3 linked regions of the Schizosaccharomyces pombe genome follow. The protein of the gene in region 1 interacts with the protein of each later gene in a pairwise test. Each region holds a gene or a part of one and is shown in the gene's direction. Other genes may lie near its edges.

Region 1 (10,108 bases):
TAGCGAACGGCTCTGAAAGAATAATTATACTTTCTCTCATTGAACTTCGGAAAACTATAGAAGAAAACAAAGATGTTGACTATCAAATAATTTTGCCTGTGGTATTATATTCTTTGCAAAGTAAAGATACAGAAGTAAGATCGAGAGCTCTAAATTTGATTCTTACATTTCTTGAGCTACGCAATGAGAATCTGGAATTTTCAATTATCTATGGTATGGATGATAATGATAATAAAAACCTGAGATGGCTCAGTCCTGTGGAGACTAAGTATTATTGTTCAGATTTGCTACTTGATCGTTCTTCAGAAATTGGACTGGATGGTACTTATCTGTTTTCTTATATACCTGAAAGGCTTTTTACTGAGAAAAAACCTAAAAACGCTTCCAAAGAAATTGCTGTCACATCTTTCCTTTCTTCACATGCTGCATGTAGTAAATTGTCCAATGTTAGGGTTTTATTATTAGAAATTTTAACAAGAGTTCATGGTAAAGTCGAAGATGCAAAGATGCAAATACTTCTTCCCAGGCTTGAACAGTTATCTGAGTTTAACTCTGAGAAATTTAAGACCGTTTCTAAGCGGGAGGTGGAAGCGCTAGTTAATTGTTTCAACCACACTAGTTTTACCTCTCTTCTTTCTTTTCTTTCTTCTAACATTGTTCTTTCGCAAGCCATCTGTCGACGGATAGTTGAAATACAATCACACCTTAAAGATCCTCAACGACTTGAATTTGTTAAAGCCGTGATTAGTCAAGATGAACAACCTCACTATTACGTTGATGTTCTCGACTCAATAAAGATTCCTGACACTGTTTTCAAAAAGCTTATTGGAAGCGTCCGCTTGGTTAAGGAAAAGAATCCTGCAATTGCCAAACGCAAACGCATTGATAGCCACATATTTGATGGGGATGTCCAAAGGCTTACTCGTATTTTAGAGCTTTTGGAGACAAAAAATGCTGCTTCATATCCAAAGTTGGCTTCTCCATTATTCGAAGTTCTCAATAGCGTTATCGCTTTGAAAGAGGATATTGTTTCATCAAATTATTTGCTTCAGCTACTTCTAGGATTGTTATATGAGATGATAGGAGCCTCACCGATTACTGAACTGTCACCCTCCATTAGAATCGATACCTTAGTGGGTTGTATTCGTTCTACCAATAATCCACAGATTCAAAATAAGGCATTGTTACTTGTTAGTGCTCTAGCGAATGCTGCTCCTGAAGCTGTTTTACATGGTGTTATGCCGATATTTACTTTTATGGGTAGTACTGTCTTATCAAGAGACGATGCATTTTCCATCCATGTCATTGAACAGACTGTCAAAACTGTTATATCTGCACTAATAAGATTAGGTAAGGATTTTGACTCTTCCTTGCTGGTATCATGTTTTGTGAATGCGTTCCCTCACATCCCTCAACATCGCCGACTTCGACTTTATCGTTTAGTTTTGCAGACAATTGGATCAAATAGATTTTTATCCGTTGTTTTAATACAGTTTGCTGAAAAAATGTTGCTGGCCAAATCTACGAATGTTGTTGCTATACATGACTTCTGCTTAACACTTGTGCAATCTTTCTCTGTTGCTGATCGTATTGGATCGATCAATCAATGTTCAAGATTCTGCTTAAAATCCCTTGAGGAGCAATCTAATTCAGACTCAAATGGCAAAGCTGTCAGCTTGATAAAACTTGATGAACTTCCAATGGATGTGGATTTAGCGACTCTCGGGTCATTACGAGTAAAAGTTTTGGAGTTAATTTCACTTGTGTCTAAGGCTAAAAATTTTGCTTTTGATTTGGCGAAGATAATGGAGAATTCTGTTGATTCATTTGTCGAAATTCAAGCAGGTTTGTTTGAATCGATAAAATTGCTTATTACACTCAGCCAGCAAAGCTCTAACGAAATGGAGTTGGGGCACGTATATGTGGCATTACGTAGTGTGATACATCTGCTACCTAATGAATTATTTTGTACTGTCCTCGGTAAACTTCTTCATGATGAACGTGCCTTACTACGCCGTAAAGCTTTGTCGATTGTACAACAAAGGGTACAGCAGGGATCTAAAGTGTCTGCATTAACAGCGTTAATTCCTGATGTTACTTACAATATATCCAACTATTCTGATGAAGAAACGACTCAGTTAGCTATGGATTGTCTTGCTGTTATGGCCAAGCGATTTAGTGCGAGTCCTGAACTGTTTATTTCCCCTATTGAGGTGGTTTCAGGTCCCTACGGATTAAAGAATAGTGCACGTGATGTACAGGTATCTGCCATAGTATGTATCACCGTCTTGACCAATACTCTTGCTGCTCGCATCTTGCCTTACTTGGCCGATATAGTTAATTATTCTTTATCTATTTTAGATGATGCTAGAAAAGATCCGGAAGGCGATTTATTAGAGCTAGCATGTTTCTCTATGATGATCGACTTTTTCAAAGTATTACCGGAGTTTAGCAGCAGTTATGTCGAGCCGACAATAAAATGCGCTTTAGCTTCTGATCGTGCGTTTGAACATGATGCTATTGGTGAGCTTTTATTTGAAACAATTGCCAATTTTATACCTACTAGATTGTTGATGAAATCTATATTTGCGGCATGGCCTGAATGTGCAAGACTTGGTTCTACTGCGGCACTCCGTCTTTTAGAGTTGATTGAATTGGCATTACAAAATTCTAGCAGGAGCGCTATTGGGACTGTTTATAAGTCAATATTCAAATTTTTCTTGGATTCCTTTGACAGTAGGCGGTCGCTTTTATTTGCGGAAGACGTTGATAATGTGGAAACTCAAGCAGTTAATGTATTTCTGAAATTCGTGATGAAGTTGAGTGATACAACTTTCCGTCCTTTGTTTTTACATTTGCATTCATGGGCATTGGAAGATTTGTACGAAACTGATCCATCTGGAATAGTATCTCGGCAAACTTTTTTTTACAACTTTTTAACCATTTTCCTTGATACTTTAAAATCCATTGTTACTAACTATTATGCTTACGTTTTGGATGACACGATTGAATTGCTTTCATCGAAAGATACGAATAGTGAAGTTCGTCATCTAGTGAACAGTAGTCTCGTTAGTGCTTTTGAAAACGACACTGAGGAGTTTTGGATGGTGCCCGCACGTTTTGGTAAAATAAGCCCCGTTCTAATTGAACAAATACAATATGCTCCTTTGCTTGATGACAAGGTCCTAGTAAAAGCTATTGTCGAACTGGCTAGTGTAGCCTCATCAAGCGACAACTTTAGATCAATGAATACTCAGTTGTTGCAATATCTTCGATCCTCCAACATCAATGCTCGCTTATTAGCTATCCAAATACAGACACAGCTTTACGGGCGCCTTGGTGAGAATTGGATTTCTACATTGCCTCAATCAGTACCATTTATTGCTGAACTAATGGAAGATGATGATGATCAGGTTGAAACTGCTACGGCTGAGCTCGTGCGGATAATAGATGACCGTCTCGGTGAGAATGAATCCCTCCAAGATTACCTTACATAAGGATTGTAGAGGTTGTGGGTCCGTTTTTCACAGGCTGAGTTTTAAACGGAATCTTTCGTTTTCTAAATTTTTCATTCTAAAAAAAATAATTATTGATTCGTTATGAATATATACGCTTTCGTCTAATCCCTGCCAAAAAAAAAGGAAAAGACGATCATGTTGATTGCAATCCATAATGGGTCTTCTCATCAATGACCTTTAGGGTTGTATTCATCAATTCTCAATTATCTTGGGATTATAAATAGTTTGGTTGGTTTCGGTTTCATAATACTATAAATTAAGAGAGAAATTTTTGCAGTTTACAAATGTTTGACAGCAGCAAAATAATTTTGAAGTTTAAACCAGTGTATTAAAACCCAGTAAATTTCATTGAAGTATCGAAATATTGTATATCTGAGCGACTTCGTAAAGTGCAATCATCCTACATAGCAGTAATCTAGTGGAACGGCATACGTCTTTAAATTTGCTTAAGTCAGTTTTTGTCTAGGAAATGGTGATTTGGCCAGTTTCTTGTCGGTCTTTTATATACAAGAGATAAAATTCTAATTCCATTTATCTATCGAATTGGTAAAAAAAAGCCTCGCTAAGGACTTGTTTAAGAGTTTGCCACTTCGATGTCATAAAAACGGTCAACACTTCTCAATTTAAAATTTGTTTGTACTACTAGTGCATCCTTTTAAACAGCAACGACAGTACTAATGAAGTTTGGATGTGTACAATTTTTTCCCAAGTTGGGAAAGGTGAACGAAAACATCGTTCATCTTCGCCAGCTTTTGGATCAACATTCTGAAGCATTACAGTCTGTTAAGCTATTGGTTTTCCCTGAAATGTGCTTAACTGGTGGGTGGTCTTTATTATTAAGAAGAGTTAGCTAACTTTCCTGTAGGCTACAATTTTAAAAATTCAGAAAGTATACAACCCTTTTTAGAAAACGTAACTAGCAATCATTGTCCAAGCATTCAATTTGCTCAAGAAGTCTCTGAGCAATATCGGTGCTACACCATCATTGGATTTCCTGAGTTTCAAAACTCAAACGGCATTTCTACTCTTTACAATAGTACAGCTCTCATTTCTCCCAAAAAAGAGTTGTTGAACGTTTACCACAAGCACTTTCTTTTTGAAACAGACAAATCATGGGCCACTGAAGGCAAGGGTTTCTCTTTTGAACCCTGTATTCCTGAACTGGGCCCTATTTCAATGGCAATTTGTATGGACATTAACCCGTATGATTTTAAAGCTCCTTTTGAGAAGTTTGAATATGCAAACTTCATTTTGCGTGAGCTAGAGCATCAACAAATGGTTTCTTCGAATGTATCACGACCAATTATTTGTTTAAGTATGGCATGGCTTGTGTCAGATGATAAAGTCATTGATGCTTCCCTGCCCGACATCAAAAATTTACATTACTGGACCACTAGACTTTCACCGTTAATAAATTCGAATACGGATGCAATCGTTCTTGTAGCAAATCGGTGGGGAAAGGAGAATGATTTAAATTTTTCCGGTACCTCTTGTATTATGGAACTTTCTCAAGGAAGAGCTATCTTACATGGTGTCTTGAAAGCTGCTGAGAATGGAATTGTAGTTGGAGAACTTGAAAAATAAAGATGTGCGACGTTTTTTATTTCTATTCATGAAAACATATTATATAATACATATTGGTTTTAATAAGCCTGTTAAATTTCTATTATCGTGATGACATTCCAAATAAAAATGACAACTCCTTTGTATTCAGACGTGAAATTTCTCTAAGCCCTTTTTCCCCTAAAGCGCTATCTATTAGTTCTCTCTTTCTGTCTTGTAAGGCTAAAACTCGCTCTTCAATCGTGTTATTAGTAACAATTCGTAAAATATTTACCGGTTTATCTTGTCCAATTCTATGTGCTCGATCGACAGCCTGTTCTTCGATATAAGGATTCCAAAATGGATCGAGTATGATGACATGATTTGCACAAGTCAAGTTTAACCCGACATTTCCTGCTTTTAAAGAGATCAGTAAAACTCTCACGTTCGGATCAACTTCAAAATTAATAAGAGCTTGATTTCTTTCCGCTGTGCTTAGACCACCAGTATACATAAGATATTTTATACCCTCTTGTCGAAAGGGTACCGTAAAAAGCTCAAGAAAAGAAACAAACTGTGAAAATATTAAAATTTTGTCAGTTGGCTGTTTCTTGATGATTTCTTTAACTGCATTTAATGCTTTTTCAATTTTTGTAGAAGTGGTCCAATGTTTAGGATCCGTAAAGATCTTCATACCCATTTGTCTATTCTCTAAGATATTACTATACTGTTTAGGTAGCAATTCGGAAATGTTTTCTGTTCTTAATTTGTTATCGGCATCGACAATAGGTGCCATTCCAGAATATCGTCTAAATAATGCGTAACTCAAAAGCCTTTCAGTATCGATGTACTCCTCGCAAACTGAGCACTTAGGAGAAATATTTTCGTTGCTTGTTTGCTTAGCCATATCCTCACTGGATGTAATAACATGGGTTAAGCACTCTCTACATAGAAAATGACCGCAAGGCACAATTATCAAAAGTTCTGCAACAACATCCATACATAAGGAGCATTGCAACGTTTCAATTAACTTAAGGCGATTGACAGCCTCGGGATATATTTGGTTGTAGATTGCACGATTCTTAGCTTGAAAGCTATCGTTATCATCAACCGCTGCTTCTCGAGCAACAATTAGCCAGGGATGACAACAAGCCTGTCGAAGTCTCAAAAGTAATACTAGTAGACTACCGTAATGCGTAGTTATAGTCCCTTCTTGAAGATATTTACGCATTTGAATTTGTGCTCCGCTTTGAAGCGTATTGTAAAATTCCATCTCAGAAGAAGAGAGGTCTGTTTCAGATTTGACGGCGGTTTTTGGAGGAAGTGTCAATATTGGCTTGCCATCAATCTTTGTATTTTTCGTTCTACGAAGTAGCACTGCTTTTAATAAGCCACGAAAGCGCTTCATAGGAGCGGACGTGTTTATATTGCTACTTAAAGGAATGGTAAAGTCCTTTGAAAAACTTGACCAGTCTGAATAAGGTTTAATCCTCAGAAATTTTATCAAGCTGTAGAACTCCTCAACCCCATTCTGCATAGGGGTACCACTCAAACACCAACGATAAGTTGATTCTAATAGACAGCATCCACGAGCAGCTAACGTATTCCTGTTTTTGATAGTTTGAGCTTCATCCAATATAACTCGATACCACTCTGCTTCAAAAAATGGAAGGTGTTCAAATTTTTTTATTGGAGCGTTATCTTCGATACTCTTGTCATAAGCCATTTTGTTTTTAAACTCGTAAGCGATGACATTATAAGTAGTCAAAACAATGTCATACGACATCAATTGTTCAGCAATTTTGTGCTTTTTCGAACTTCCGTGATGAATATAAACAGTGGGTCTATGTGAGGGAGCAATTTTAGTAAGTATTTCATTATGCCATTGCTGTAATAGCGACACAGGGGTGATAATCAGAGTTGTTTTAACTGATTTAGATTCTGGAGGCCTTGTTACTAGCAATGCAAGAGCCTGGACAGTTTTTCCTAGACCCATATCATCTGCCAAAATCCCTCCTTTCTTAGAGCTTTCTTCTAATCTTTTTAACCACATTAGTCCTTCCTTTTGGTGTTCCATTAATGTAGGTATTAGTCCAGCAGGTGTACCTTCGCGAATTGTTGGATCGTTGACAAGCTGCTCATCAAGATCTTTGAACAACTCCTCCAACTGTTGTTGCTGATCATCTTGAACTTTCTGGTTATTTGAGTCTGACAAATTGAATCCTTCAATATTGTGAAATCTATCGTGATACCATTGAAGGTGGAATAAGTGTTTACCAGGTTCGGGTAGCTTGGAATCATGCAACAAACCACCCGGAAGAATGACTGAATCCGAGCCATAACGCTTATTCTGAAAATTAATTTCGTTATCTTCTTCGTCTGATAAAGAGATCGGATTATTAGAAGTTCCTTTTCCTTGAAGAAACTTATCATCTTCTAAAGTGTGAGTTGTGTTAAACATCTTATAATTATTATGATGATGAAAAGGAGGAAGAGCTAAAGAATTGGTATAAGAAGGTCCAGCCGTAGATAAAACTGGTAACGAAGGTAACTCTAGTTTTTTCCTTTTCGAATTCATAAACGCAAGCTCTAAATTCCTTTTTTCCTTCATATTAACTTTATCATGGTCGTTCAGTGAAGATTTCGTCCGAACATTATTATCATCGGATTCAGAGTCAGATACGACAATCACAGCATTGTCGTTCCAAAACAAAGAGTCCTGTTTTTGTTCAAAAAGTGCATCAGATTGACTCGGACTAAGCTTATCTGTTGAAGAACTAATTTCGTTTTGCAAAGAGTGGCCATCAACATCAATAGTAATTGCATTGATGTTTGGACGATCAAGCCCAATTTTAGGAGCAATTAAAGTGGCATCCGTGTAAGTAGAATCATTATTTTCAACGGAAAGAGAACTGTTCAGCTTCTCTTCATTAGGCTTTAATGCAATCACACTATTGTCATTAGGAAAAAGGCCATTCACTTTTTCTATGTTAGATTCCATCGTATTTAAAGAGGACGATGAATCATGCATAAAGGCATTGAATAGCGCCTGTTTTCGATTAAGAAAAGCAATTCTCCTTTCCATTTCATGTCTGTTTATATCATTTTTTAACAATTGGTCAGACGATGCAGAAGAAGAATAGTCCGGGGTATTATTTTTATTGAACCCAATGTTATGTTTGTCATCTAAAGGTATTTGTTCACATGGATTTAACGTAAATTGTTCAAAAGCTGTATTATTTCTCATAAATTAGCAAAAAAATGCTTTGTGTTTAAAATGTAGTGTGTAATTTTAGGTAGGCAAACTGGTGTGGTGATACTCAGTCGCCCCAAAAGTTTAGAATAAGTACCAAATGTAAGTTAACAAGGGTAAATGTGTACATGAATTTGTGATCATTCGAAATGGAAGGAAAGAAATTAAATTTTTTAAATCATAAAAAATTCTTATTATAATAATTTCTGTTTTGGGAGAGTTTTATAAAAATGCTGATCAGTAAACCTGAAAGAAATCAAAGGGGTATTGAAGAGTCATCTGTATACATATTTTATAAAAACAGAACTGTGAAACTTTTAAATCCTTGAAAAATGTTAGTAGCGAGATGAAAATGGACGGAATAAATAAATAAATTGAGAGCATTTTTAACCCAGTTCTAATTTGTCATTGTAGTATTAAAAGCGATTTTAAAAATTTTTGATGTTTCTTGCTTAGTTTCCCAAGCAGCATTTTGCAAATTTTCTAATTAAACGTTTCAAATAGCTTAAGCATCGTCCGTGCAGTATCAAAGCAGCTGTAAATTGTTTTAATAAACAAATATTTTAATTAATGTTTTTATATGTTCTACTTTCTTCTAAAGTTGTTTCCCCCTAAATTCAACTAATCTATATGAATACTGTTACATACCCATGCATTTTAAGCTATATGGCTTTACTTAATACCTAAATTTCTTTTTTTTTTTTTTTTTTTTTTTTTTAAATTAAAAATATTCATTACCTTTTTCCTAATTACTTTGTCTTTAAAGTGCAATGCGTAGGTATTGATAGCAGAACCAAATTTCAAAACTATTATTATTTGTATTTCTAAATTTATAATGGTATCTTTCATTAAAAATTGATCAAGTAGTGTCGCTTGAATTCTCTTTAGCGGCTTACTATTCAATATTTATATGACTGAGTGTTGGCGCTTAACCTCTAATGTATTTAGCCAGGTGGATACAAAGACAAACAACTGTATGAAAAATGAAAGTTTATAGAATTAATGGAAACGGTGAAAGCAAAATTTAAGCTGTCTCTAAACCTACAAATTCGCATTTTTCTTTTGCCAGCACCATATGACGCATCCGTAGGATCTGCACATTTCAAGCAACGTAAATCATTTACCTCATTTTACTACTATGACTGAAGCGATGGAACCCTGCGCAGGAATCCAAAACTGCATAAGAAAAGAAATTCAAAAGACATAATTAATAACATGGTTGCACAAATAAAATTCAAAAAAATACTTATGTAAATGAAAAACCTTAAAAAAATCAATAATTTATAATTGCATAAATAGATTGCCTAACAATGTGCTGATAGATAAGTCAACTTACCTACGCTACAACATCGAAACCCCGTATTTGAACAATTCCTTTGTTTCCTTTGTCCTTGTGCTTATATTATTTCTCATTTTCTTATATTTTAATTGAGCTACATATAGAAAGTAATATCGAGGGAATTGCGTCAAATTTGAGTTAAAAATTGCATTTTGATTTTGAAGTTAGCATTTCGCTTTTTTTTTTTTTTGAGGTCTTTTATTTTAATATTTTCTTCTCTTTCTTTTTGCTCGTAGGTTTAAAGCGCAATTGCTGTTATTTTGATTGCAGTAGACTCTCGTGTTTACGTTAATTGCTATATTCGTTTTTCGTTTCTGCGTTCAGCGATACCCAAGTATCGTTGTTATTCCTTCTGCCGTTTAAATTGAACTTTCTCTTCCGTTTTCCTTTAGACATTGCATATTGTGTGCATTTTACAAGCATACATTTTCACTTTTGAGTTGACTTTTCAATTAA
Region 2 (7,133 bases), on another chromosome or scaffold:
ATTTTTATTATTCTTTTTAGTTAAGAAAGAAACAAACTTAAAACCTCTCTCTCATCTATATCAAAGGAATTAATTCATCTTACTGTGCTCTGTATATTTCCTTTGTTTATCACATACTATACTATACTATACTATACTATACTATACTATACTTTTTTTTTTTTTTTTTTAATAAACCCAAATTTGTTTGTTTGACTTGCTTTTGAGATCCTTGTATCATTCCTCCTCTTTCTTTGTTGAGCTTTTTCATTTCCTTTGACCAATCTTTTCTCTTCTTTTCACCTCTATTCTCTTCTCTTCTCCTTCTCTTTTTCATTCTATCCTTTTGCTCTTCTTACTTGCTTGCTTGTCTTGTTTAAGTAGCGTGTTTTGTTGTACTCCTGTATCATGTCTTCCGAAAAAGTCCTCGTTGGTGAATACCTTTTCACCCGTTTGCTGCAATTGGGCATCAAATCCATCCTCGGTGTACCCGGCGACTTTAACTTGGCTTTGCTCGATTTGATTGAGAAAGTGGGCGACGAAACGTTTCGCTGGGTCGGTAATGAAAACGAGCTAAACGGTGCTTATGCCGCTGATGCTTATGCTCGTGTTAAGGGCATTTCTGCCATCGTCACCACTTTTGGCGTCGGTGAACTTTCCGCACTCAACGGTTTCGCCGGCGCATACTCTGAACGTATTCCTGTCGTTCACATTGTCGGTGTTCCCAACACCAAGGCTCAAGCCACTCGTCCCCTTCTTCATCACACACTGGGAAATGGTGACTTTAAAGTCTTCCAGCGTATGTCCTCCGAGTTGTCTGCCGATGTCGCCTTCCTGGATAGCGGTGACTCTGCCGGTCGTCTCATCGACAACCTGTTGGAAACGTGCGTTCGCACTTCAAGACCCGTTTATCTGGCCGTTCCTTCGGACGCCGGCTACTTCTACACGGATGCTTCTCCCTTGAAGACTCCATTGGTTTTCCCTGTTCCCGAAAACAACAAGGAGATTGAGCACGAGGTGGTTTCTGAGATTCTCGAATTGATCGAAAAATCCAAGAACCCTTCTATCCTCGTTGACGCTTGTGTTTCCCGCTTCCACATTCAACAGGAAACCCAAGACTTTATTGATGCGACCCATTTCCCCACTTACGTTACTCCCATGGGTAAGACTGCGATCAATGAGTCATCCCCCTACTTTGATGGCGTCTACATTGGCTCCTTGACCGAGCCTTCCATCAAAGAACGTGCCGAATCTACTGACTTGCTTCTCATCATCGGTGGTCTTCGCTCCGATTTCAACTCGGGCACCTTTACTTATGCTACCCCTGCATCTCAAACCATCGAATTTCATTCCGACTACACCAAAATTCGTTCTGGCGTTTACGAGGGCATTTCGATGAAACATTTGTTGCCCAAGCTCACCGCTGCCATTGACAAAAAGTCCGTTCAGGCAAAGGCCCGTCCTGTTCACTTTGAGCCACCAAAGGCTGTTGCTGCTGAGGGTTACGCCGAAGGAACCATTACCCACAAATGGTTCTGGCCTACGTTTGCCTCTTTTCTTCGTGAGTCCGATGTAGTGACTACCGAGACAGGTACCTCCAACTTTGGTATTTTGGATTGCATTTTCCCCAAAGGCTGCCAAAATCTCTCACAGGTATTATGGGGCTCAATTGGTTGGTCGGTTGGCGCTATGTTTGGTGCTACGTTGGGCATCAAGGATTCCGATGCTCCTCACCGTCGTTCCATATTGATTGTTGGTGACGGTTCCCTTCATTTAACTGTTCAGGAAATTTCTGCTACCATCCGTAACGGTCTCACCCCTATCATATTTGTAATTAACAATAAGGGATATACAATTGAACGTCTCATTCACGGTCTTCACGCTGTTTACAACGACATCAACACTGAATGGGACTATCAAAACCTTCTTAAAGGCTATGGTGCCAAAAATTCTCGCTCCTATAACATTCATTCAGAAAAGGAGCTCCTCGATCTCTTTAAAGATGAGGAATTTGGAAAAGCTGATGTAATTCAGCTCGTTGAAGTTCATATGCCTGTCTTGGATGCTCCTCGTGTTTTGATTGAGCAAGCCAAACTTACCGCTTCTCTTAACAAGCAGTAAAAAATATGGCTATGGCTATATTATTATGATATGTTTTTGATTTTGAAATTTACAATATTTCTCAAATGATGCTTTTGTTAGGTTAGTTAATTTGCAACAGTCGTTTTTTTTTTCTACGTCAATCCATATTTCTTTCATAAAATGAATGAATATATTGAAGTTTATGCAGCGGTTGTTTTTTTGTTGGTAATTAGGATTCATTGAATGATTTATTTTTTTTTTCTTTTTGCATCCCCTTACTCCAAGGTAGACTTGTCCAGATAATTCCCTGTTAGTATAAACTCAATAACATAAAAAAAGGTCATTGAGACGACTGGTAATGAGTAGCAGCAATAGAATCACTAAATAATATAGTACCTTCAATTTGGTCTCTCGTCTATGTCTTTGGCATAGATGGTAGATACAAAGCATTCGCTACAACCAAATCTTCCTCATGGCTTACAGATACCATTACGGGAGAAAGCGGAAATCGGGGATCATGAATAACAACGGAAGGGTAGCCTATATTAATCATAACAAAGTCAGTAACTTTACAAACCTTTTATTTTTAAACATTGAACATGGAAAACAAATGACACACCTGTGGGAGTTCGAACATACTCCATCATAGACATGTAAACTCGAAAATTCGGTTGTAAAGCTTTGAAAACAGCTTCTTTGACGCACCATCTACATAGGAAAATAACCGTTAAAACTATGAAACGATCATAAATATAGACAAGCATACCTAACAGCAAGCCATTTAGCCTGTTCGCTTAAACGAGGCAGCGAGGAATTGCTTTTAATCAGGTTGTACTTTTTAATTTCATTTTCACACAGACATTTTTTTAAAAAGTTCTTTTCCCATTCAGGAGAGCGTTGAATTAATCTTGAGATTCTTGAAATTTTTAAAATGTCAATCCCTAAACCCATTTCGATTTTTGATTCTTTATAACATGAACAGGAAATATTAATGGTAATGCAAGAAGAAAAAAAGAAATCTATGGCTTCAATAATTTTGAACGCTTAATTAATAATATATTGTAAACTAAATTTCCGACACACTAAACGAGATATAAAAATCTTTATCCTTAAATAAAATGAAATAAATTTATCTAATTCATTATCGATTAGTGCCCCCAAAGACATCAAATCCAATTCGTTTCGTAGCGAATGCAGTAGCAGGAGTTTTTACTGTAACAAGTGTACTCTCTACTCACTCCCAGTTACAAAAGTGTTCAAAGGGAACCAAAAATTATATATTTGTAATCCTTTCAATCACGAAAAAAAAAATTTCATATGGTAAGAGATAGAATTTATCTCTAGATAATACGAGTACTAACCATATAGTCACACTTTGAGATTTTATCCCTTGAAGGTCTTCGAAATGGTAAGCCAATTCATTTATGGGAAATGAAAAAGAAACTTAAAATTTACATTCAAACATCTATGATTCTTATAAAATGTATTAATCTTTCTGTGTGCTAATATTTGTTGCAAGATGGTCGACGGTGGGATGAGATGAGAAACTTTCAGTGTCGTATTGGAATCGAGCCTTCGGAGAATGGGTCGGCGTTTATTGAATTGGGTAACACAAAGGTCTTGTGTATAGTCGATGGACCCTCGGAGCCTGTAATAAAGTCCAAAGCTAGAGCTGACAGAACATTTGTGAATGTCGAAATAAACATTGCTTCTTTCAGCACAATAGATGTGAAAAAGAGATTTAAATCGGATAGGAGAATTCAATTGCAATGTTTAGCTTTACAAAATACATTTGAGGAGATAATTCAAACAGAATTATATCCCAGAAGTCAAATTTCTGTCTACTTGCATGTTTTACAAGATGATGGTGCAGTAATGGCATCTTGTATCAACGCTACTACTCTTGCCTTAATAGATGCTGGTATACCAGTTAAAGATTTCGTTTGCTGTAGTACAGCTGGGATTGTTGAGTCTGATATGCTGTTGGATTTAAACTCACTAGAGGAGTCAGCTCTTTCATGGTTGACGGTTGCTGTTTTGGGGAACATAAAAAAGGTCGTATATATGCAGCTGGAAACTAGTATGCATTTGGATTATTTGGAGTCAGTAATGAATATGGCGATCGCTGGATCAGAACATATTTATAACACGATGCAAAGTGCGGTTCGACAAAGCGCTAAACCGGCACTTGCAAGTCTCAGCTAATGACAAAATTTTGGGGAAAAAAACTATTAAAAATAAATGAACGGGAAGATTAATTTTTATAATTATACATTGATAAGTCATCACAATTGCAACTTTACTTAGCTCTACGATATTCTGACAAAACGTATACAGCTTTACTCATTTTATTCCTAGTACAACGTTTTTGTCCTTATCCTTGGTATTTCTGTATAAGTATCAAAAAAATCACCTCGAATATCGTATATAATCTTTTAATGATTGCGTCCCTTTTTTGTCTAAAGGGGCTTATATTACAAAAAATATGGATTGTACTGTAGATATTATGCATCAAAAAAGGCTCATTAATTAGTTGAAGATTTTATGAATAAATTCGGTTATTCAGATCTCACTTATTATAATAAATTGATTATTTTTTGGGGGAGGCTTTCATAAACAACCGGGAATTTTTCATTCAACAGATATTACAGATTGATGTGGATTAAAAAGAAAATATATATATATATATATATTTTTTTAGATTTTTAGATATAAGAAACCTAAGGTTTATTATGAGAATCGTAAAACTGTTTTTCGAGATAAATGTTAAATTTGTTAATGTTAAAATATGAAAAACACAGTATTTTTATTTTATATATTTCTATAATGGTGCAAACTAACAGTAGCTCTTGTAGCTCAGTGGTAGAGCGCCTGTCTCGTAAACAGGAGGTCCAGTGTTCGAGTCACTGCCGGAGCAGTTTTTATATTTTTCGATCACAGATCGGCCTTTCTAATAAGCATTGAAAGCTACAAAATGAGTATACTAAGATACTTATTAATGCATATTCTTGTAAATAGGGTTTCTCACAATTCATCGAATATACATACTCAAATTCTGCCGTTACTAGTTGATTGCTGATTTCAAGGACATCTTGATTAATAAAATGGAAGAATCGCTGTAGGATCAACAGTTAATATTACCTTCGTTTTAAAAATGAGGAATCTCGTGCCGTTCAACCAAAGTAAAAATGAAACTTCGTCAAACTGCATGACTAAGTTTCCCCTTTCTGTTTTTGATGCTTTCATAGCACTGTCAAGAATACCGTTGCGCAAATATCTGGCAATTATATACATACCAGTTCATCGCGGCCTGATTTAAGTTTTGTACGTTTTATTGTTTTCAATTGTTTTTACTAGACAGCATACTGAAATATGCCTTCAACAGTTTTTAATTTTATCAGTTTGATTGAATACATCAGTTTCCCTAAATGCTTTCTATCTTTGCCTTCAAAAACTTATTGCTTATACATGTTATAAATATACTATTTAAACGTCTACGGCCATACCTAGGCGAAAACACCAGTTCCCGTCCGATCACTGCAGTTAAGCGTCTGAGGGCCTCGTTAGTACTATGGTTGGAGACAACATGGGAATCCGGGGTGCTGTAGGCTCATCTTTTTTTGTTGATGATTTGCTTCTTTTTATATTAACATATTTGGAAAATACTTGTAATTAATTTAAAGCGGCTTTTCTCATTCTAGGTACTAGATGAGTACTTTCGTTACAGCGCAATTCTTGTATTGACCAGGTACGAATCGGAATGGAGGACATCCCACAACAGACAAAAAATGAAATACAATTCACAAATTAGTACCACATCTTGTTCATTTTCATGAACAAGTGTTAAAGAACTTTTATATTTATATAAAAGACATATTCAACTGGTTGTCTTTACTAAGTTTAGATGCATTCTTGATTCAATGTATCTACGAGAAGCGCATTGAAAAAAAAAAGTTTGTTTGTAATAGTTTATATTCAAAGACTGTTGAAAACACATTTCCTCAACTATTCTTGAGTTTGGCATTGATAACCTTTTGAATTTCATTAATACGAGTTCTCACTTTTTTTTGTAATCCAAAAAACGGTGATGGATGGTTTGTAAGGCAATGGATTAACAACTTTTCAATAAAATAATTCTTTACTCTAGTCAAAGGAACAAGTGGAATCAATTAGACAGAGTCTTCTATTCGTAAACTTTCCAATTGTAATTTTCGTTTGAGGGAAAAGAAAGTTTAAGTATATTATCTGTAATTCTAAACGATGTAGTAAACTAGTAGTTTATTAAACACTTTAGTTTATTAAATACTTTACTGCTAGTTTATTCAGCGTTCGGCTGGTAAGCCAGTTATCACCGATCGTTATGTGCTTTTAGATACTAATAAATCTTCTTTAAGGAAACTTTTTAAATATAAAGAATAATTATTGATAAACAGTTAAGTTAAAATGACCAATGTCTGGGTTCTGAAAAGAAGCAAAATTGGCCCCTAGAGTTTAGAAGTGGGTAGTCCACACAAATTTTTACTCAGAACCAAACACTCAACACTTTGCAAAAATGTCGACGACAAGCTGCAGAATGTACGAGAATCGCTTCCCGGAAGTGGATGAACTCGTTGTTGTCAACGGTATGTAAAAAATGCACATGTTGTCTGTCTAAAGAAACGGTAATGGCTAATATTTCCAATAGTTCGTCAAATCCAGGAGATGGGCGCTTATGTAAAATTGTTGGAATACGATAATATTGAAGGAATGGTTTTGCTCTCTGAGCTTTCCAGACGTCGTATTCGTTCAGTACAAAAGCATATTCGCGTTGGTCGTAATGAAGTCGTCGTGGTCTTACGTGTCGACAAGGAAAAAGGTAAGAATTTATTAGTAGTTTTTTTTTTTTTTTTTTTTAAAAAAAAGAAAAACAAAAGGGGAAAAAAGGTTTATAAGTTGTTAGGAATGTACTAACCAGGATTAAGGATACATCGATCTTTCAAAGCGCCGTGTTAGCCCTGAGGATGTTGTAAAGTGCGAAGAACGCTTCAACAAATCTAAGGCTGTTCATTCCATTATGCGCCATATTGCTGAGA
Region 3 (6,998 bases), on another chromosome or scaffold:
AAGGTTTAAAAAAAAAGAACGGTTTTTAAGGAGCATCTTTGAATCCCTTATCCTTTTCTTTGTACTCCGTGACGCTTTGAGATAACTTCTCTTGCTTTGTAAAAAACGACAAAAGCATTCCTACTCCTGCAACTGGACAATTTACAATCCAAATCATACGAATGGCATTAGCATAGGCATTGAATACAAAGTTCTTTTCGCTTACGTTGGGAATTGAAGCAATTTGAGAGTATGATAGCCCTGCAGAATACTTCGTTCCTTTTAAAAGTGTCGTTAGTTGCTGATCATAGATTACCGCTCCCATCGATATTCCCACAGATGCACCCATATTTCTTAGCAGCATAAATGCAGAACAGGAAGTCGCTATCAAAGCAGGAGGTACAGAAGCTTGAACAGCAATGAGATTTGGTTGAAATAGATTTCCAGTTCCGACTGCTGTCAAAGCCAAGAATCCCATGGTACGTGATATGTCCGTGTTATAATATATCGCAATCATACTACCGGTACCAGCTAATAAAACTATCCATCCTCCAATCATTGGATATCGATAATTTTTCAACTTTCCTATTCCCATACCACTAACAGCAGAAAGAAGTGAGGATACAACCGCTAGAGATAATGTGTGAACGCCAGACATCAAGGGCCCGTCACCTTTAATGTTTTGGAAGTATACTGGGATGTAGTAAGTAATTGTTGAGACAATATAATAATGTAAAAAGGATGTTACCATTACAGATGTTAAAGAGAGCGTTTTAAATGCCGAGGGAGTAATAATTCTAGTACGGGTAGTATAGAATTCATTGACAACAAAACCGGCAATGCACAGGATACCAAAAATTAAATAGCACAAGACATTGGCATGGGCCCAATGACCTGTTGTAGATCCAATATTCAAACCAACTAAAAACAACACAACACCAGTCGTAATGGTAATAATGCCCACAAAGTCAAAATCACGTAAAAACACGCGAAACGAAACTGTAGGCTTGGGTACAAGATTGAGGAAAAAAATCAAAAGTGCGAGCGAAAGACCACCAGTAGGTAGATTAATGAAGAAAATCCACCGCCAACTAGCCTTTTGCGAAATTGCACCACCGATTAAAGGACCCATGACAGAAGCAAGGCCCCAGGTGACTCCCATACAACCTGTGTAGTAAGGTCTAGTCTGTAAAGGAGTAATGTCAGCTATAACGATTGTAACTAGAGATGTAATGCCTCCACCGCCGATGCCCTGCACAGCACGGCATAGTACAAGCCAAAGCATATTTTGGGCAGCACCACACATGGCACTACCGAAGAGGAAAAGAACAATGGAAGTATAGAGGACAATTTTCCTACCGACTACTTCACTCATGATACCACAAAATGGAAGAATTGAAGTTTGAGCCAAAGTATAAGCAGTACCAATCCACGAATACGATGAACCGCCATCGAGATTTGCTACAATAGTGGGAATAGCTGTAGTAATGACAGTTTGGTCCAAGGCGGACAGGAAAATCGACAACATAAGTCCTGGAATAACGATGTACATTCGATTGGAGGGCAACACGAGGGTGAAATCGGAAGAATCATCTTTCTCAGACGATGCTTCATGGGTTGAAAACCGAGACTTTAGAGAACTAGTACCATAAATTTGATCTTGGGCTGAAATAGAAAAGGCTTTTGATTTTGCAGGCTTTAGCTCGTTCACCTCATCAACGGTGGAAGAGAACCATGTTACCTCATTCCCTGTGCTATAGAGATTCAATCCTCTAGTCGGATTCAAGCTACGATTTGGAGAAGACGAAGGGTTCATAATATCTTGGAGCTGAGAGACAAATGCAATTGTAAAGAAAGGGGTTCACAATTACAAAATGCAAAACGAAATGAAGTAAAATTCAAAAAGAAAATAGTAAGGAATGCAAGAAAAATTAAAGTAATGCAATATAATGACACTCTTGATTAGAAATATAACAAATGAAGAAATTAAAGGATGAAAAACAACATTCACATAGCAGCTATAGTGCTTGAATAGTTTTTAAATGGAAACGGACGCATTGTTATATTAATTTACAATGGAACTTTTTGACGATTTACAAAGATAGGAGATTCCGAGGAAGCACGCATCAGGCTGAACTAGAATGCCTAGTGGCAGCACATAGATAAAGTCCATGCACAACAGTATAAAGGAAGTGCACAAAGACAAAGGCAACCCTAGTTGAGCATCAAAGGGATGAGTATTTGAGCATCCTGACTATGACTTTGGCATGATTTCTGAATGATAACTCCGTATACACTTTTGTTTGGAACAGCCACAATTAAACAAATTTTAGAACATGCAGTAAGGTTCAGTAAACAGAAAGAGAGAAACAACGATGCTGCATAGTGTGAACGAGCTGAGTTCGATCGTAAAGTGACAGTAGCGAAGAGACAGACTATTATTGATTGTTAGGTTGACTGAAAAAATTTACAAAAAATGAGGTATTTTGATTTGACTATAAACAAAGCAAATTTCAGTATTCAATCTTTAAGCAAGTTTCTTAGGAGAAACCTAGAAGCAATGCAATACTATAATGGTTAAACAAAAAAGAGCTAACGTTAACCTGCAAAAGAGATGATAAAAGAAAGCAGTAAAAATAAAGCTATAGTTGCTATAAGTATGCAAGTAGTATGTAACGTATGAACTATTATACAAATTTCCCTTTGTATTGAAACTCGATATTAAAACGTTCTTTTAGTTTAAGAATCGCACTGGGACATCGGAAAATAACTGGGCAATGCACAGCCATTAGGAAGACTTTAAGAAAAAAAAAAACGACAGCTACTGCAAAACATCAAAGTTACAAGCGATTATTCCGACTGTTGAAATTTCAACACCCGACCCCCAAGGATCTAAGCATGATTTAAGCAGTAGGAGAGGCCTGAAAACCTGCATATCTAGCTCACAATACATTCATAAGAAGAAAAATAGATAACTTTAGATCTGCCATATCACTACTAAACAAAGAACGAACCTTCCCTTTATCGAGAAAGATAAAGAAGATAGTGAAATAAAGGTGAAGAACATGTTACCTTAGTGAAAATTTTACAACGCGGAATTACTCTGATATAACCTGCGAATGAGATTCGCTAATATTTCTGGGTGGCCTCCACGGACTTAAGAAAGAGCAAGTATATTAATTTTCATTCCGTTTTTGAACTTGTCTTTAGTATATGCCATTCTTTCTCTTCTTATTGAAAAGTACTCGAAAATAAAAAAAATGTCTCCTCATAAAATTAGTGATAACCACCGTCATTTGATGTTAAGTAGATTTATGATGGGAAATGGTGTTTCCATCATAAACATGCCTTTCTCTGGTGGCCAGCCCAAGGACGGTGCAGAGTTGGCTCCCGAAATGGTTGAAAAGGCTGGCCTTGTGGATGATTTGGAACACCTTGGATACGATGTCAAGCTCATCCAAAACCCCGAATTTAAAAGTCGTCCTTCCAAGGAGGGTCCCAACCAGGCTTTAATGAAAAACCCTTTATACGTTAGCAATGTTACTCGTCAAGTTCGTGATGCTGTCCAACGTGAATTAGAACAGCAAAGAGTTGTTGTCAACATTGGCGGTGATCATTCTCTTGCCATTGGTACTGTGGAGGGTGTGCAGGCCGTTTATGATGATGCCTGTGTCTTGTGGATTGACGCTCACGCTGACATTAACACTCCTGAATCTTCTCCTTCTAAAAATCTTCATGGTTGCCCCTTGTCATTTTCTTTAGGATACGCCGAGCCTCTCCCTGAAGAGTTTGCTTGGACCAAGAGAGTTATTGAAGAGCGTCGTCTGGCTTTTATTGGATTGCGTGATTTAGATCCTATGGAGCGCGCTTTTCTTCGTGAGCGTAACATAGCCGCTTATACCATGCACCACGTCGACAAATACGGAATTGGCCGTGTCGTTGAGATGGCGATGGAGCACATCAATCCTGGTAAGAGACGACCTGTCCATCTTTCCTTCGATGTTGACGCTTGCGATCCCATCGTTGCCCCAGCCACTGGTACCCGTGTTCCAGGCGGTTTGACTTTCCGTGAGGCAATGTACATCTGCGAAGCTGTAGCTGAATCCGGTACATTGGTTGCTGTTGATGTTATGGAGGTTAATCCACTACTTGGTAATGAAGAGGAGGCCAAGACTACGGTGGACTTGGCCCGCTCTATCGTTCGTACTAGTCTTGGTCAAACTTTACTTTAAAATTACAATTTATCAATATATAAAACGAATATTGATTTTCATGAGCTGACGGGACGAAGAGTGCATTCTTTTTATGTGGAATTAAGGGAAAAAATATAAATAACGTTACTATTGTTTAACCGTTTAAATAGAATTGACTTAGGTATTAACAAGTTTTTTGATCTGATTACTGAAGTTGAGTAAAAGCATATTATCACGTAAACATTTTTATTAAGGATAATCACTAAAAGTAAAACAAAATAATCAGTACAACGGAGGATACGACTCCAACGAAACCGGTGAACCATTGATTGGTTTGTATTTTCATGTCATTAATTTCTTTGTGTAAAATATCCACTTCATTGAGAATTTTCGTTTCATTTTCGTGAATATTTGTGTTTCTAGACGTTGCGGCATCTTTCATACGTCCTTTTTCAAGGTTTAAATTCAATCTGACTTCAGACAAAGCGGTTTTAACGTCTTCGCGGAGAGAACTCTTGGTTTTTTCAATTTCGTTAATAAGTTTATCAGAGCTTTTCCTAACTTTATCAAATTCATTTTCCTCAATCGTCTCCAAATACTTCCGAATTTGTAAAAATGTTCTTTTTTGCTGGAACGACACAGATTCCTGCTTAGCTTTAAATCCTATATTTTTCTCTAACTCTGTAAGCCTATAACGTTAGTTGGAAAGCTCTTAAACTTTTTACTTACGCCTCTCCAGTAATGGTCCTCATCAAATTAGTAATTGTTTCTGCATTTTTTACAGAATAACCAGCCTGCTCTAGTCTTCTGGAAGACTGTTTAAGCAATTCAGGGCTTGGTTCATAAGATGCAGAATATCTTTCGGATTGGATTCTATTAATAATCGTCCAAGGTCTATTTTGACTTAGAAATGGGAAAATTTGTTTCCGAATAATCATTTGTTCCTTTTTTATTTGTAAATTCTAAGGAACGATTCAATATTCATGGGCGATTTGAGAAAAGATACGTCAAAAAAAGTAAATTATGTTAAAGAAGCAGACAATTGCATTTGAAGAAAATCAATCTTTATACTACTACGTTCGGTGGTGATAATTTAGAGGTTTTGGTGTTTCTGATATGGTAAAATAAGGCGGACTAATGAATATTTTAGTCTCTAAAAATAAAAGAAATATATATGTATATTAAATAATAATTTTTTAAACGATTTAAATTGGGTTTTATTTCCATGATTATTCTTCACAAATTATGACTAAGGTAAACCAACTTGCTTTAAATTTTAGCGGGCCAGTCTTTAATATAGCATTTACACCAGCACCAAATGTACGCTAACAAATAAGATTGTGGATGCTGAAATTGCGTAAAAATAAAATGTACAATATTAAACAAACTTCTTTCTCAATGTTAAAAATACGATTTTCTTAATCCTAAGCCTCAAATAGTTTTCGGTATCTGTAAAATATTCGACGTATCTTATATAGTAATTAATAAATATTATTTAGTGTCCCACTGAAAAAGCGTTTGCAGTGTAAACCCGTTAATAATTAAGTCTAGAGGAAATATGTAAAATTTTGAAAAAAAAAATTCCAAAAGTAATATGAAATGCATAAGGATCAATGGAGACCACCTATAAATATAAAATCGTACGAGTGAAAATCCTAAAAAAATGTCATGTACGTAGTGAAAGCCATTGCGAAGGCACCAATAGTAAACATAAAAATATCAAGAGTACGTAAAATCCAATTATTTGCACAAGCCTTATAATGTAGCATCGGCGGATACATATAGATAAGCGGTATGCAACAGACGCTACCTACCATACTTACAAATAAATCAAGACGTGAAGATCCACTAAATTGTTAGCAAATGAAGAAATAAAAAAAAAAAGGAAAAACGTACGCCCAAGATATTAGGATAGCTAGAATAACAATTAAGACACGAAGATAATTCTTCCTCCATTTAATTTTTCTGTTTCTTTTACCGCTTCTAGTGAAAATTCCCTGTTCAATGATAGCAATTGCAGGAAACAATTGCAATGGGGTACTAAGCAAAATTGCAATAGCATACAAGAATTGGATAATAACGGTGAAAGTACTCTCTGGCATATTCAAAATAACCACCGTTTTGACCTTTGAACCAAAAGCAGCGTAAGACAGCAACCCAATAGAAATAAACAAGAGAGAGATCGCTGCCATCACACCTGTGAGGAGCTTAGGTAAATTCTTTGGTTTAGCCATCTGTTCTTGGATAGGCAATATCAAACAAATTCCTTCGTAAGTAAAAATGGCAACACCAATAAATAAACTAAAATCAGTTTTGTTAAACATTGCAACATCGGCTATTCCTTTAGTGGCTAGCGTAATCACGTCCCAGAAATACAAATATAATATCCCTAGCAAAATAAAAACATCAGCAATTAAAGCAGTAGCAGAAAGTTTTGATATCTTGCGAACGAGCGATAGAGGGACAAATACCAAAAACTGAATAAAAATGAAAACAGCTAAATGGTATTCTCGGTGAGTAGTGGATATAACTTTTACACATGCTTGTAATGTGCTAGCAACAAACGAAATATAAGCACTCGAAAATCCAATCTTAATGCATTTAGTAAAATATTTAAATTTAAAAACTTACCTGTGAAACCACGATAGAAGCAAGAATAGCAAATCGCATATGAGGACCATATAAAGTTCCCCCAATATCACCAAAACTTCCAGGTACCTTCATTCGAGTCTGAATGAGAAGTAAGAAGCAAATATGAGACAATACTCCCACAATAAGAAGGGTCGCACTTGAAAATACCAATCCACCTAATTTAAAGCTAGACAT

Evidence for each region. Proteins that work in one complex are often made in the same cells at the same time.
Region 2: the proteins of nta1 (region 1) and rrp41 interact in a two-hybrid assay, tested with the Schizosaccharomyces pombe proteins (one large-scale study listed by BioGRID).
Region 3: the proteins of nta1 (region 1) and aru1 interact in a two-hybrid assay, tested with the Schizosaccharomyces pombe proteins (one large-scale study listed by BioGRID).

The regions. Positions count from the first base shown.
Region 1 is NC_003423.3:3,837,836-3,847,943, reverse strand, and holds nta1 (protein N-terminal amidase nta1), read left to right. Parts: upstream 1-4,175; 5' UTR 4,176-4,195; coding exon 4,196-4,337; exon of another isoform or gene 4,338-4,383; coding exon 4,384-5,102; 3' UTR 5,103-5,184; downstream 5,185-10,108. Other genes in the region: U3 snoRNP-associated protein Utp10, read left to right, coding at 1-3,497; rrp2 (DNA translocase/ SUMO-targeted ubiquitin ligase E3), read right to left, coding at 5,185-8,307. UniProt on the Schizosaccharomyces pombe protein: Deamidates N-terminal Asn and Gln. Component of a targeting complex in the N-end rule pathway.
Region 2 is NC_003424.3:3,159,843-3,166,975, forward strand, and holds rrp41 (exosome 3'-5' phosphorolytic exoribonuclease Rrp41), read left to right. Parts: upstream 1-3,284; 5' UTR 3,285-3,378; coding exon 3,379-3,381; exon of another isoform or gene 3,382-3,429; coding exon 3,430-3,469; exon of another isoform or gene 3,470-3,580; coding exon 3,581-4,266; 3' UTR 4,267-4,512; downstream 4,513-7,133. Other genes in the region: pdc201 (pyruvate decarboxylase), read left to right, coding at 388-2,100; ppt2 (holo-[acyl-carrier-protein] synthase new8), read right to left, coding at 2,477-2,601, 2,681-2,769, 2,828-3,012; tif211 (translation initiation factor eIF2 alpha subunit), read left to right, coding at 6,614-6,683, 6,746-6,916, 7,023-7,133. UniProt on the Schizosaccharomyces pombe protein: Non-catalytic component of the RNA exosome complex which has 3'->5' exoribonuclease activity and participates in a multitude of cellular RNA processing and degradation events.
Region 3 is NC_003424.3:1,940,992-1,947,989, forward strand, and holds aru1 (arginase Aru1), read left to right. Parts: upstream 1-3,187; 5' UTR 3,188-3,239; coding exon 3,240-4,211; 3' UTR 4,212-4,377; downstream 4,378-6,998. Other genes in the region: SPOM_SPAC3H1.06C (transporter), read right to left, coding at 26-1,795; SPOM_SPAC3H1.08C (uncharacterized protein), read right to left, coding at 4,435-4,861, 4,902-5,110; vacuolar amino acid transmembrane transporter Avt3, read right to left, coding at 5,828-6,020, 6,069-6,763, 6,804-6,990.